2 linked regions of the Xenopus tropicalis genome follow. The protein of the gene in region 1 binds, or shares a complex with, the protein of each later gene. Links are inferred from orthologs where the notes say so. Each region holds a gene or a part of one and is shown in the gene's direction. Other genes may lie near its edges. The genes, in order: tert and nop10.

Region 1 (3,826 bases):
GTGAGTGTATAGATTGGTAAGTATAGGTTTGTGTGTGCTGGGTTTACTTGGAAGGGTTGAACTTGATGGACTCTGGTCTTTTTTCAACACTATGTAACTATATAAAAGGCGTAATTTTCAGGTTGGAAACATCTTTTGCACTTAAACCAGATACAAGCGCTCACATGACTACTATTGGATGCAGAGGGGCTCTATAACTGATATACTAAATGTATGTATTTTTAACCACAGGACTCTGGCAGAAGGAATTCCCCAATATGGGTGCTCCATCAGCCCTCAAAAAACAGTGGTAAACTTTCCTGTTGATGACATCCCAGCATGCTCTGAAGTGGAACAATTACCTGTTCACTGCTTGTTCCGGTGGTGTGGTCTTTTGCTGGACACTCAGACTTTGGATGTTTACTATGATTATTCAAGGTTTGGATTATACAATATTTTACTTTTGATTTTATTTTCGATATTGCTTTATTATTTTTAATGCATTTTAAAAAATAAGTTTAAATTAATGGGTTCCTGGGTTTATATATAGATTTTGGCTGCAGTATCAATTTTTCTTAATATCTAGACAAGTGATGTTGTTCCCCTAGCGACAGCATTGGTTTCCTGACAGCATTGTCAGCATTGGTTTCCTGACAAGTGATTTTTCACCAGAAATACTCCAGGATACAGATTTTAATGTCCATGCATGATAACTTATCAGTCTTATGTAAATGGAAAGTGTCTTGTTTGGGGTAACAATTTCAACTCTTGTTACTTCCTTACAATTGGGCTCTCATTTTGTTTTAGTTTTTTACTTTTGTGCATTGATGTGCATATGTTTTTTCTTTTTCTTATATTCACATAGTCTGTATTGTGTCTTAAAAGCCTATTGGATGTAGAATTTTTTCATTCTTTGTACAGTTGTTGGAGGTTTTTCCACAAAATATCTGCTCCCAAGTTTTATACACTGCTCAAAAAAATAAAGGGAACACAAAAATAAGACATCCTAGATCTGAATGAATGAAATATTCTTATTAATACTTCGTTCTTTACATAGTTGAATGTGCTGACAAAATCACACAAAAATTATCAATGGAAAACAAATTTATCAACCCATGGAGGTCTGGATTTGGAGTCACACTCAAAATTAAAGCGGAAAAAAACACTACAGGCTGATTCAAATTTGATGTAATGTCCTTAAAACAAGTCAAAATGAGGCTCAGTAGTGTGTGTGGCCTCCATGTGCTTGGATGACCTCCCTACATGCTCCTGATGAGGTGGCGAATGGTCACCTGAGGGATCTCCTCCCAGACCTGGACTAAAGCATCCACCAACTCCTGGACAGTCTGTGGTACAATGTGGTGTTGGTGGATGGAGCGAGACATGATGTCCCAGATGTGCTCTATTGGATTCTGGTCTGGGGAACGGGCGGGCCAGTCCATAGCATCAATTTCTTTGTCTTGCAGGAACTGCTGACACACTCCAGCCACAAGAGGTCTAGCATTGTCTTGCAATAGGAGGAACCCAGGGCCAACCGCCCCAGCATATGGTCTCACGAGGGGTCTGAGGACTAGAGTGAAAGCACCGCCAGCATTCAAAAGTGACCAAAACATCAGCCAGAAAGCATAGGAACTGAGAAGTGGTCTGTGGTCACCACCTGCACAACCACTCCTTTATTGGGGATGTCTTGCTAATTGCCTATAATTTCCACCTGTTGTCTATTCCATTTGCACAACAGCATGGACAGTTTGATTTCACAGAAGTGTCATTAACTTGGAGTTACATTGTTGTTTAAGTGTTCCCTTTAATTTTTTTGAGCAGTGTATTTAATTTAACTATGTTATTATTTGAACCTGATGGAGAAGTGCATCATGCAAAAATTTATTTTTAGAATTTGTAAGGCAGTTATGGTCTGTGAATTGAAATTGCATTATTTTTATGAATATTTCTCCTCTCATTAGTTATGCCTGTACCTCAATCCGATCAAGTATGACATTTTGTCACAGTTCTGCAGCAGGAAAAAACATGAAACAAAAACTTCTAAGAGTCCTTAAATTGAAGTGCCACAGTCTCTTTCTTGATTTACAGGTAAAAATGAGCATGTCAAATACTTTTAACTAGAGTGAAACTTTACTACACACCCTGATTTTACCTTTTCTTACATTCTACATTGTTTTTTTGTGGTCTCACCGATATAATGCATTTCAATGAGTACTTTTTTTACATATCAATTTTGTCATATTTTCACAAAAATGGCTGTTTGTCCTCTGTGAATGTTATTATTACTAGGGATGCAGCGACTCCACTATTTTTGTGGATGCTGAAAAAGGCAGTATCTTGGCCGAATCCCAAACCGAATCCTAGATTTGATACATCCCTAATTATTAATGATAATCAATCCCCCCCCCCCCCATTGTGTAACATTAATGTTGCACTTCTTACTCCTTGTCATTAACACAGTAAATATTGTTATTTAAAGTCAAACTGACTCCTGTGCTTATAGCCTTAAGGTCCCCATACACGGGCGGATTATAGCTTCCGATATCGGTCCCTTGGACCAATTCGTCAGCTTATCGGCCCGTGTAGGGGCAGAACAGAAGGGCCTGGCCGACCAATATCTGGCGTGAAATTGGCCAGATATCAATCGGCCAGGTTAGATGCGGCTCGTTGATGTGGTCCCCGAACTGACTGCCCCATTGCCGCGTGTAGAATTCGACCGTTTGGCCCCAGGGCCAAATGATCGAATTCGCCTACATGCTTCCCCGATATCGCCCATCTGAAGGTGGGGATATCGGGTGAAGATCCGCTCGCTTGGCGACATCGCCAAGCGAGCGGATCTGCCCGTGTATGGCCAGCTTTAGAGTACTTGAAGAAGTTGCTTTAACACATTTATTAAAGGAGAAATGGCACACACTCCTTAGTCCACTAAAACAAAAAAGTCCTGAAGCGTTTCGTATTCAAAAAATACGTAGTCATACGTGCCGATGACTACATATTATTTGAATACGAAACACGCCAGGACTTCTTTGTTTTAAGATCTCTATAATTAAGACAAGTTTTAGTGGACTTAGGAGTGCGTGCCATTTCTCCTTCAATTGATGTTCATTTATACCTCAGGCTACGGGTTTAGGGTGCTGCACCAGAACCACGACTTGCTTTTGGTGAGTGCATTTTCCCTATAATTTTGCCAGGAGTGTTTTGAAGCTGTGTGTTGGAGGGGAAGGGTCTGGGGTTCGTACACCCGGACCACATAATTTACTGGGTGAGCCTATCATCACGTTATTTGCAATTAGGTTTTGGTGGAGAGCCTGGGGTTTATACACCTGGGCTCACATTCATTAATGGTGAGCCGTTAAAAGGGCTTTAGAAAGTCTTTTTAATAAGTTTTTTCCCCCTCCCCCTTACCATATAACTGAGCCACTTATTTTTTAGGATTGATGCTTTAACACATTTCACTGGTTTTACACTCATTTTTCCTGGTCCCCTAAAAAACATAAAATTGAAGTTCTTCTGTATGATGTTGCCATGATAGTTATTTGGTGATTGCGAATATTAATATGTCTCTGCTATTTTCTACAGGTAAATAGTTTAAGGACAGTTTTCATCAATACTTATAAGATATTCTTACTTCAAGCTTACAGGTTAGTGTGCTAATTTATTGCTATTAAGTTAATTTATAAAATGCTGTCATATAAATTATATGGGTATGGGATCTGTAGAATGCTTAGTAAGGGAAGGCCATCTCCCATTGACTCCACATTAAGCCTAATTAATCTAATGGGAAAATTAGGTATAACTCATCTTCCGTTATTGCTGCAATTTGTGTTGTGCCAAAATGAATGCAGCT
Region 2 (3,926 bases), on another chromosome or scaffold:
TGTCAGGTTCCTGTGCTGTACAAAAATGACACAAAGATAAATCATTTCAGAACTTTTTCCACCTTTAATGTGACCTATAAACTGTACCACTCAATTGAAAAACAAACTGTAATCTTTTAGGTGAAGGGAAGAAAACCAAAAAAACTAAAATAATGTGGTTGCATAAGTGTGCACACCCTCTTCTAACTGGGGATGTAGCTGTGTTCAGAATTAAGCAATCACATTCAAAATCATGTTAAATAGTCAGCATACACCTGCCATCATTTAAAGTGCCTCCGATTAACCCCAAATAAAGTTCAGCTGCTCTACTTGGTCTTTCCTGACATTTTTTTAGTCGCATCCCACAGCAAAAGCCATGGTCCCCAGAGAGCTTCCAAAGCATCAGAGGGATCTCATTGTTAAAAGATATCAGTAAAGACAGTCATCATCAAGTGGAGAAAATTTGGCACAGCAGTGACATTACCAAGAACTGGACGTCCCTCCAAAATTGATGAAAAGACGAGAAGAAAACTGGTCAGGGAGGCTACCAAGAGGCACTTACTGGCACCCCAGAAACTTTTTTCATGCTTGTGTTGCTCCCCAACACTTTTTCCATTTGAATGTGGCTCACGGGTATAAGAGGTTGGGTATTCCCTTTCCCCAACTATACTTTCTAACTCCAACCTCTTACTGGAGTGGCTCTTCTCCCGATATGCCCACCTACGGGTGGCCGATATTGGGCCAAACCAATTAAAATGGCGGGTATAGAAGCTGTCAGTTCGGGGGCCACATCAACCAGCCAATGTGGTCTCTGATCAATGGAAAACCCAAACCTGCCCAATCGAGATCAGAAGACGGTCGGGGAGGCCCGACATTCGTGCCCATACACAGGCAGATGAGCTGCCAAATCCTGATATCATGAGCTAAAATCAGCCCGTGCATGGCCACCTTTAGACTCTTTCTAAAAGATACACCATGTAACTACTACTCTTTTTAGACCATTTTAACTCCATCCCCACCAACCTACTAGTAAACACCACCTCAAACCTCCCCTGCCTGCATGTTCTAACACTGTCAGATCCCGTCTCTATGCTAACTCCTTCTAAGCATCCCCTCCTTCCTGCTGCAATCCCTTTACACCCATTCCAACACGCTGGTAGGTCATAATCTTTTTTGATATTTTTATTCTTTGCAGAAGTGTCTCGCATCATAGGTACGTGTTCTAACCGCTAAACTCACAAGTGAGCTGATTGGTCAGCGCCCTCAAGCTGCCTCAGGAACGACTGAGAATGATACCCAGATTTACTGACTAGTTAGAACAAAGGCCAGACAACACAAATAAGGATTTGGGGCGCATGAATAACAAAACAAAACAAAAACAAGTAGGCTGTTACTGCCCGTAGTTACATAACAAACGGAGAATTTCGCTCTCGAAAATAAGGCGAAATATCAACACGAGAGCGGGATAGGGGGTGTGGAGAAGGAACTACTGAAGTGACGAACTTTACCGGAACAGGAAGTAGTTGTGCGGAAGTAGTATCGTCACCCTGTTGAGAAAAACGTGGGGCGCTTGGTGAGTGTGGAACCTGCGTGTGTTTCTGTTCGCTGTAGATTTGCGCGTGTCGCTGCCTGACGCTAGAGGATGTTTCTGCAGTTTTATCTAAACGAGCAGGGGGAGCGTGTATACACAATGAAGGTGAGCAATGGAACTATAAACCAGCATGTGATGGGCTGATATTTTCCTTTGACCTATACTATTCCTTAGTACCTGGAGGGTCGCACAAATGGGCAGTGCAACATGTTTTAATGCCTATAGAGAAAGTTAAGCGTTTAGTTCCAATTAAATTGAAAGAAAATTGTTTGCTTAAGTCCATCTGGTGGCCACGATTAAAGCATTTTATATAGGGATTATAGGAAAAGTATAGTGTAAAAATAAAACTGGGTAAATAGGTAGGCTGTGCGAAATAAAAAATATTTCTAATATAGTAAGGCAAAAATCTAATATATAAAGGCTGGAGTGAGTGGATGTCTTAAGACATAAATGTCAAACCCAAGGCCCGGGGGCCAAATCCGGCCCACCTGGCTGTTTTATGTGGCCCTTGGTGAGGGTGTCTGACCATCCAGCCTGATCAATTTCCATTTTCCTCACATAGTAACTAAGACTAAGGGGTATATTTATCATGCTGTGTGGAGTGAAGTATTAGGGCTCTAGCACACGAGGAGATTTGTCGCCTGCGTTTTTTCCCCCCTGGCGCTTTGGCGACAAGTCGCCACGACAATACACAAAGAGATTTCATGAGAGTTGAGCTCCAGGCGATCTGCTACCCATGGTACACTCAACAGTTACCCCTCTCATGTTTACTCAAGTCGCTCAGAAAAGGGTCTGTACGATTTGAAACAGCAGGCGATTTGAAGTAGCCTCGTATGTTTTGACGCTGGCGATTTCCATTTGTTTAGCATTGGCGTCTTGTCTTTCATCTTGTCGCCAAATCGCTCTTTTAAAAATCGCCGGTGACAAATCTCCTCGTGTGCCAGAGCCCTTAACAGTAATGTTGCCCAAGGCATCCAATCAGTAATCAGATTTCAACAGTAGCAAAGCATCTATTGGCTGCTATGAGCAACATCACTGGTAATGTCTTACTCCACTTTTTACACATTGTGATAAATATTCCCCTTAGTATCTTACTAAGTATATTAATAAAAAATTTGGCATGCGACTTAACCTGTTTTTTAGATTTCGGCCCCCTTATGTGATTGAGTTTGACACCCCTGTCTTAAGATAATAGCCAGAACACTACTTTCTGCTCTCTAAGCTGTTAGCCATCAATAACCAATCAGTGACTTGAGGGGTGACTTGTCCGATATGGGACATAACTGTTCAGTTAGTTTGTGAGCATGCAGGTCAGATTCATAAGCAAACTAACTGAACAGTTATGTCCCAGATCCAACCCCCCTCAAGTCACTGACTGGTAACAGCTTAAGGTCCCCATACACTATAAGACATCGCCAAGCGAGCAGATTTTCACCTGATATCCCCACCTACGGGTGGGCGATATCGGGTAGCAAGTAGCTTTAAAGAAAAATAATCGATCGTTTGGCCCTGGGGCCAAATGATCGGATTACATTTGCAGCCATGGGGCAGTCGGTTTGGGGACTGCATCAACGAGCCGATGCGGTCCCCGATCCGACTGGATTTTATAACTTGGCCGATCGATATCTGGCCAATTTCAGGCCAGATATCGGTCGGGCAGGCCGCTCGTTTCTGCCCCTACACGGGCCGATTAGCTGCCGAATCGGTCCAAGGGACCCATATCGGCAGCTTCTATCGGCTCGTGTATGGGGGCCTTTAGAGAGCTGTAAAGGAGGAAGTTATGTTAAACATCTGTTTACTCCAGCCTTTATAGATTACATTTTTGGCTAACTAACCATATTGAAAATGTTTTATTTTGCACAGCCTGTCTATTTAACCACTTTTATTTTTACACTGAACTGTTCCTTTAAAGGCTATGTCCAACTTTGTGTTAACATTTATTTAAGCCCCTATTGCCAAAAAAATATTTTGCCAATAGGAATTTAACAAATTGTTTCCTTTAAAATTTTCAATGAAGTCAGGGCTTATGTGATGTTGAGTCCTGCACTGTCTCACTGGAGGAGGGTTTGCCGGCCCCTACGTCCACTACTTTTTACAGAGGTTGGCAGCGCATAACAGGAAGAAGCAGGAGCAGCTCCAGTACTGTGCATGCCTTGTTTCCTCCTTGTATTGCATAAATTGTATTGCCAGCCAGTCTGATTCATATAGGGCTAATGAGTGAAGATATGCGCTGCGTTAAACCTTCACAAGGGGAATCTGAAACCAACACAGAACCTGATTGCAAGTGGTAACTTTGTTAAAAAGTGTAGCGGAAATTTTTTTTATGAAGAAATATTTATTGTCAGAATATTTATTT

What was found.
Region 2: tert (region 1) and nop10 share a complex: the UniProt entries of both Homo sapiens proteins name them as parts of the telomerase holoenzyme complex. The link is inferred for Xenopus tropicalis from reciprocal best matches to the Homo sapiens genes TERT and NOP10.

What each region holds. Positions count from the first base shown.
Region 1 is NC_030682.2:58,800,191-58,804,016, reverse strand, and holds part of tert (telomerase reverse transcriptase), read left to right. Parts: intron 1-231; coding exon 232-417; intron 418-1,940; coding exon 1,941-2,067; intron 2,068-3,558; coding exon 3,559-3,620; intron 3,621-3,826. UniProt on the Homo sapiens protein: Telomerase is a ribonucleoprotein enzyme essential for the replication of chromosome termini in most eukaryotes. Active in progenitor and cancer cells. Inactive, or very low activity, in normal somatic cells.
Region 2 is NC_030677.2:142,941,882-142,945,807, forward strand, and holds the start of nop10 (H/ACA ribonucleoprotein complex subunit 3), read left to right. Parts: upstream 1-1,579; 5' UTR 1,580-1,621; coding exon 1,622-1,675; intron 1,676-3,926. UniProt on the Homo sapiens protein: Required for ribosome biogenesis and telomere maintenance. Part of the H/ACA small nucleolar ribonucleoprotein (H/ACA snoRNP) complex, which catalyzes pseudouridylation of rRNA.